Linked DNA regions of Oryzias latipes. The protein of the gene in region 2 interacts with the protein of the main gene of each other region in a pairwise test. Links are inferred from orthologs where the notes say so. Each region holds a gene or a part of one and is shown on either strand. Other genes may lie near its edges.

What was found.
Region 1: the proteins of txlna (region 2) and ccdc146 interact in binary tests that used the Homo sapiens proteins (3 or more experiments, as listed by UniProt). The link is inferred for Oryzias latipes from reciprocal best matches to the Homo sapiens genes TXLNA and CCDC146.

What each region holds. Positions count from the first base shown.
Region 1 is NC_019881.2:12,668,397-12,672,207, reverse strand, and holds part of ccdc146 (coiled-coil domain-containing protein 146), read right to left. Parts: intron 2,692-3,811; coding exon 2,581-2,691; intron 2,480-2,580; coding exon 2,342-2,479; intron 413-2,341; coding exon 287-412; intron 1-286. UniProt on the Homo sapiens protein: Essential for sperm flagellum biogenesis and male fertility.
Region 2 is NC_019869.2:26,641,670-26,645,480, reverse strand, and holds the end of txlna (alpha-taxilin), read right to left. Parts: intron 3,000-3,811; coding exon 2,829-2,999; intron 2,765-2,828; coding exon 2,570-2,764; intron 2,487-2,569; coding exon 2,367-2,486; intron 2,282-2,366; coding exon 2,207-2,281; intron 2,136-2,206; coding exon 2,043-2,135; intron 1,970-2,042; coding exon 1,874-1,969; intron 1,766-1,873; coding exon 1,469-1,765; 3' UTR 506-1,468; downstream 1-505. UniProt on the Homo sapiens protein: May be involved in intracellular vesicle traffic and potentially in calcium-dependent exocytosis in neuroendocrine cells.

The DNA.
Region 1 (3,811 bases), on a different chromosome or scaffold from region 2:
GCTTATAGGTGTGTAAATGTATGTATGCATGGATAGTTAGGACTGTAAAATGCTTTGGCTCTTCTTAGAAGGGAGCGAATCGCGATAGAAGGAGACGCCGTTTACCACAAAGAGGATAGCTGTTTCTATGTGGTTGCATCTTTTGTGGCTTTACTAAGAGAGTGAAGAACGGATCATTCTCTTCAATCAGCGATCAATGAAAGGAGACAGCAAGGAAGCTGAAGACGGTGAGGGTTTGAGGGAAGCAGGAGGACTTTTGTTCGGCACGGTGATGTGGATCTCTGACCTGGACTTCCTTCTCTTTGATCTGCTGCTGCTCACACGAAGCATCAGCCTGCTTGACGGACAGTTCTGCAGAAACCGCCATTATGCGCTGGTTGGTGTCGATCAGATGAGTCCGGACTTCATTCAGCTAGAAACAAGAAACAAAAAGACGAGTATTGATTAGAAAAGCCTTTCATGGTCTACGCATTCAGTCCATAGATGAGGTGCAAGAAGGAACATGACCACACAGGATCATTTCTTTTTAGAAAGGGCAGCATCTCTAACTCTGCGTATTCAGATTTTGGATAGAAATGAAATATTATTTATTTGTGACGTTTTGCTAACATGGAATTACCACATGTTGCAGTTCCTTAAATGACCACTAGTGGCAGGTATCAGAAGGGAGCAATTACCCACCAAGTCCTTTGTTACTAGATCAAAGTTCACACCCACTTTATATATTTTACATTATTTACTTATATTTGAGTAATAATATTTTTGCACCTTGACAGAAAACTCAAACTATCAGATGATCTATTAAAATTTGCCCTCTAAATGCCCCCACTTTTATCACTTCACATAATATTACAAGTTCTCTAAAATAAAAAAAGGGGAGGGGGGATACATTTTTTATTTGTATGTTTTACAAATATTTTGCTTTTGTATTTTACCATTATGACATTCCTTTAAGTAAACAGGAATGAATATAAAGTAGACACATATTATATATGTATATAAAAATTTGCAGACTCACACACACCTGCAGACACACAGATGCAGACACAAACACACACACACACCTGCAGACACACAGATGCAGACACAAACACACGCACACACCTGCAGACACACACCTGCAGACACAAACACACCCCTACCTGCAGACACACAGATGCAGACACATACACACAAACACACACCTGCAGACACACAGATGCAGACACAAACACACCCCTACCTGACAGACACACACACACACACCTGAACTAGGGCTGCACGATATGAGGAAAACTTGCGATATGCGATATTAGTGATCAATATTGCGATAACGATAAATCTGCGGTAAATAAACAAATAGAAAAATAAACAAAAACATCATTCCCATTTCATTGCAACAGTTTAAAAATTATACTCCAAATGACCCTCATCGACATGGGGGACAAACGTCAGGGTGGCTAACCCTGGTCCTGAAGAGCCTCAACCCTGTCTGTTTTCCAATTCTCCCTAGACTGCTCGATAATGATAACCAAAATCAGGTATGTTCAGTCAATCAGGATGTGAAATCACTTGAGTCAGCCAATCAACAGCAAGCTGGTTAAGGAGAGCTGGAAAACAGGCAGGGTTGAGGCTCTTCAGGACCAGGGTTAACATAATAGGCCTCCATCTGATTGGTCAACAATGGGAAGGCGTCCATCTGATTGGTCAAAGCATAAAGGGATTTATTTGATTCGTTAAATGCTTCAAGCTGCTAGAAGATTGTTTTAACACATTTTGGGTTTGCGATTTATTGCGATATTCGCCGTCTTTTGCGATATGCATATTGCAGAGCTGGATATTGCGATAACGATAAATTTGCGGTATATTGTGCAGGCCTAACCTGAACCCTCAAAGACACAAACACCTGTAGACAGACTCATCTGCGAACACACCTTGGCACTAGCACACACACTTGCAGACGCACACCTACTTGCAAATGCACATACCACTAAATACACACACCTGCAGACTCACAGCTGCAAACACACACACACACACACACCTTTACACTTGGAGATGTACACAAATATACCTGCAGACACACACATAATACCTCTAAATAAACAAACCTGCAAACACACAGTTGCAAACACACACACACACACACACACACCTCCAGACACAAAGCTGTAAACACACCTTCACACCTGCAGATGCGCACACATACCTGCAAATAAACATGCCTCTAAATACACAAACACACTTTCACACCTGCAGACACACAGCTGCAAACATACACCCCTGCTTACAAACACACAGTTGTGTGTGTGTGTGTGTGCATGAGTCCCAGCCTCTGCTCTCTTCCTAGATGGATCTGTACCCTCTTCGCCAGCGAGAGGCTGTCCTGCTGGTAGTTCTCAGCCTGCTCCCCAAGCGGCTTCGTCAGCCGGGTCACCTGCTCCACCAGGAGTTCTTTTTCCAGCAACTGCCTCTCACGCTCCGCTAGATTTCCCTCGAGCTGCGTGCACAAACACACAAACACACACATATGCACAGAGCAGCTGTAAGAGTTCCAACAGAACTTTGTAAAACCTTCCCGGCAGAAAAATGTCAAAATACCTGCTCCATTTTCTTAACCAGCTCCACAGATGAGGGGACTTTGCTCTTCAGCTCTGTGAAATCAGCCTCTCGATTCACACTTTCTAAAGTCTTGTCGCTGGCTTCTGACAACTGGCAGACACCGAAATAAAAAGAGAAAAAGGAAATCTCTCAACACATTCATATACAACTAGACAAAAGGGGGTATACTGTTTAAAGATTATGTTGAAGTCTAAAAAAGGGAGTCCTTTCCTGTGAGCATTTAAGATACTTGGTACCCTGGGATTTAAAGAAAAAGCAAAAACCTTCTTAGTTATATGTAGAGCAAAGATGGGACATGTCACTGGCAAAATGCGATAAGAGAAACGGAAATTTCAGAAGCCATGAGTTCCCTCAGGAACCAAGTTCTTTTTTTTCTGACAACCCTTAAGGCAGCAGAAATAGAAGGGGAAGCAGGGGAAGACGAGGGAGCACAAAGAAGATGAGTCAAAAGGATGAAGAGACTAAAAGCAAGGCAGTGAAAGAGCCGAGCAGGGGGCGGTTCAGACTCACGCCTTTATCTGACACCCTTCTTCTGAAAGACAAAAAAAAGGAAGGAAGGAAGCTGGTGGAAGACAAGAAGAGCTGACATGACACATGGATTTACCACTTAGATGCTACAAATCAAAACTTTTGACCGCTTGTTTGTTTTTTGCATCTTTGAACGCTGGATTTAAACGACAATTCAACAACTAAAAAAGGATGATAGATAATTTTCTGTTTAAAATAACAGCATAGAATACACTTGTATTAAATAAAATGAAATTTACATTTTTTATTAATACTAACTTTGAAACGTAAATTAATTAGTCATAAAAATTAGAAATTAAAAAGCAAATATATAAAGAGAGAAAAACATACCGGTAAGTCATTTTTCAGTCAGAGAACATGCAGTAAAGAAGATCTATTTCCATATTTCGTAGTTTGGCATAAGGCTCCGTTCAGATACATAAATCAAAGATCTCCATAGAAAACTTTGGGTATTAAACTACCCCTAATGGAGCTCACAGGTGGAAGGGTGGAGTGGGGTGACAAACGCAGAGCTCGAGGAAATGGAGGAGAAGGAATGGAGCGCACACCACAGGACGCTGAACAGGTGAGTTATTTAAACTGAACCGCCCTCAGGGAGGAGTAACCAGGTAAACCCACTGCTAGAGTTGCCTGCCTGAAATACTCCCAGGGTCCTTCATTTATTAAAACAATGCGACTTTTT
Region 2 (3,811 bases):
AGTGAGGCTTCTGATTGGTCCGTTTATAGCTTCAATAACTTGCAATAAAGAAAACAAACTGGATCATTAATAAAACGTTTTAGACAAAAAGGTATCGGATCAAGAATGGGTAAGTCTGCACAATAGAATGACTGAGTAACAGCTGTTTATTTCTCCATAGACGTCTATGGGAGTTTGGCTCCCTGGAACCAGCAGGTACTTCCTGTTTGGAACGCCAGGGGCGGGGGTCACTCAGTCCAGTTCTCGTTTACAGTCAATGGGGCGGCCCCCAATGAGCTCACAGAACCCCCTCCACCAAAGACCAAAGAGTTCAAAAAACAAAACAGCAGTTGTTCAATACTTTTTTCCATTTGATAAGTTTTACTGTTTTTTTATTTTAATTTTCAGTGTTTCTTCAATTTTAAAATACATTTTTTTCGTTCATTTTCAATATTTCGTTTAAGTTTTGCATCCTTTTTGTAGAGGTGATCAAATGTTTGACATAGTGAGTAAAAGAACCCAAGAGTCTCCTCAACACATTAGAGTTTTATTCAGCAGGAAACATCCAGGAGCAGACAAAAACAGACGGGGGGAGGATCTTTGGTTCCTTCAGACCAATAAACCGGGGCACAACAGAGGAAATGAACTTTAGCTTTTGAATTTTAGTATTCATCATTTTAACAAAGAAGCAGAAAAAAGTTTAAAAAGAAAAAAGAAAGGGTTGGAGAAAAAAGTCCAAAAGAATCTGAAGTTTCTCTATTTTCCGTTCGGCTGTGAACATTTTTAAAATCATGGCAGACGCCAAACATTCCCTTAAAGTCAACAGAGATCCAACCGGGAAACAGAATTACATTCTCGTCAAAGTGCTTCAGACCGCCGCACACGACAGCAGGAAGCGAGCGTTGCATAGAAGTGCCGGAACATTCTTCTGCTAAAACCTGATCTGAGCTTCTGCGGACCAGGAGACAATCCCAGAGTCTGACTTCAGCCAGAAGCCCCGCGGCCCCCAGCAGGGGTGAAGCCCCGCGGCCCCCAGCAGGGGTGAAGCCCCAACGCCCCCCCAGCAGGGGTGAAGCCCCGCGGCCCCCAGCAGAGGTTGAGATGAGTCTGTGGGAAACGGCCTTCATCACTCCCCCTGACCCAGAACACTGCTGCCTAAAGACCAGTTAGTCTCTGTTGAGACTGGGTCTGACGCTAAACTACGTCCCACACTGCGGCTGACGCGCTGCAGGACCGCCCTTCCACGCCGCAGACTACAACATCAGAACGCGGCAGAAGTGACAACCAGCAAGAGGTGGAAATCAGATTATTGCAGGAAATGGGATTATTGCAACATTTGAAGTGCTTTGGAGAAGCGGTCTGCAGAGACGGACACCTGTTGGACCCGCCGGCCGTTCTGCTCCGTCTGTCCCGTTTCTTCCAGCGGCGTGTGAAGGAGGAGCAGCAGCTGTGGGGGGGGGGGCTGCTGCTGCTGCAGGAGCCCGAGGCTTCATTCCTGAGCCAGGGCAGCAGCGCTTGCTTCTTGGAGGGGGGCGTTGGGCTCCGGCTCACACTGGCAGGGGCGGGAGCAGGAGGCGGGCTCCAGCAGAGAGTCTGTGGGGGGTGGGGACGGGGAGTCGGTCCCCGGGTCGGCGCCTGGAGCCCCCGTGGCGCTGGATGGCTCCCCACACAGGCCCTGGACCTTCTTGTTTAGCTCGTTTCGCTCCACCTTCAGCGCTCGCCGCAGCTTCTCCAGCCGCTGGACTTTGAGCTGCAGCGCCTCGAAGTCTCGATCCCGCAGCGACTTCTGCATGCATGCACACGCACACACACACGCACACACACACACGGCATGTGTTTTGGGGGCTTTTCCAGACAGCACGTCTTCTTTGGAGAAGCACAGACAGCAGCTCACCTCCTCAGCCATCTCCAGCAGAGCCTTGTTGCTGCTCTCCCATCTGGAGCGGTACATGGCCGTCTCCTTCTCCAGCTTCTTGATCTTTTTGGTCATCTGAACACAGAAAAGTGTTGCTGGAGCAGCTTGAGCCACATTTCAAGAGTGGGCGGAGCCTCCAGGGCCTCACCTTCTCCATCTCCTGCTTGAAGGTGGTGAAGACTTCATTGCTCTTGGACAGCGTGGTCTGAAACTCCTCAAACTTCTCCGTGTACAGCGACAGCTGAGAAGAGAAAGAAAAGATTCAGGGAAAGCAGAGAAGACACGGAGCTGAGGGGGGAGAAGGAGGACAACCTGCTGCTTGAGGTGAACCTCCTGCTGTTTCATCAGCTCACACATCCTCTGGGACTCGATGGCTTCCTTCAGCAGCTGTCCGGGGAAAAACCAAATAACATTTGTGTCCCAGGACCCCGTGAACAGCACTCTGGGGTGTTTGGGTAAAAAACATCCTTACGAAGTCCTTCTCCCTCTCGTGCCGCTCCTCAGACTCCTTCAGCAGCTCCTGCGCCTGGTGCAGCTTTGCGTCCACCAGCTGCTGCTGCAGGTCTTTGTGCTTCACCACTTTGTCTATGTGCTGGTTGGGGGAGGGCACAGTTGGAAATGAAGCCTCCCTGACTGACAGCAGACTGAACCCCGCGGGGCAGGACCAGGACTTACCTCTTCCCTCAGCTTGTACTGCTCGTAGAGTTTCTTGAGCTTCTCGGCCAGCTCTGCGTTCTCCTGCCGCAGGCTGGCGTTTCTCTCGTTGTGCTGCTCCATCTGAGCCTGGATGTCGTTCAGCGTCACCTGGAAATGAGACGTCACCTCCTTCCTCTTCTCCTCCTCCAGCCGGGTTCTCTGTATGCCCTCTTCCTGCAGAGACAGTCACTGTTCCAGCTGGCTGCTCAGCAGCATCACAGCGCTGTGGGCTCCTCACCTTCAGGGTGCGGTTGTGTCTCTGCAGCTCCCGGCACAGGCTCTCCAGCTTGCTGCGGGCCAGGATGGCCTTGCTGTGCTCGTTCCTCAGGTTGTCCTTGTCCTGGACCAGCTGGCTCTGCTTCTTCTGCAGGACTCGCATCTGTTTTTGGGTGTTCCGGTGTTCTTCCAGCTGGAAAACAGACAGGTTTCGGTCATCACACGGACTGTTCCACTGTGCTGGAAAGACCGACATTTTGGAACTGAGGCGACTTCAGGCCATGATGCTGACAGACTAGAAAAAACCACACCGTATCATCATGACCATAAGGCACACTTAAAAGTCTTATATTTTCTCCAAAATGTACGGAGCGCCCTATGGTGCGGTGCGTCTCATGTGTTGTTGTGTGACTTTGGTAAAGAGGACGTAGGAGAGGACAGCATGACAACGGTGAGGAAAGAAGTGAGGACGTGAAAGAAGACACCCCCCAAATAGTACTAAAGTGCAGGTATGTGCACTAAGCAGAACAACATTGTTTGGAAAGCCTGAATATGCTGCACAGAGACACAATAATGAAGCACAGTTAAACTGCAAGCTATCAGCTACACAGAGGAACATGGGAATCGAGCAGCTGCAGAGAATTTAAGATGAATGAATCCATGGTTCACAAGTGGAGGAAGCTGGAAAACAAACTCCAACAATCAAGATGACACAGCTGAGTTTCCGTGGAAACAAGGCGTGGCGGCCCAAGTTGGAAGAGTGACTGGAGCGATGGACTAAGTGTCTCTACAGTCACCATTCCACTGAAGGCAGAGATGAAAATTGAACATTTTCATGGAGGCCCATCGTGGTGCTTTCGTTTTATGAAACGCCGTCATCTTTCCATCAGGGCAACGACTACAGTGGGGCAGTAGTGAATAACAATGAAAAGCTGTTCATCTTCTGCTCCTATTGCAGCGAAAAGATCACCGACAAACACATCCAGCCACATGGACGAGGTGCCG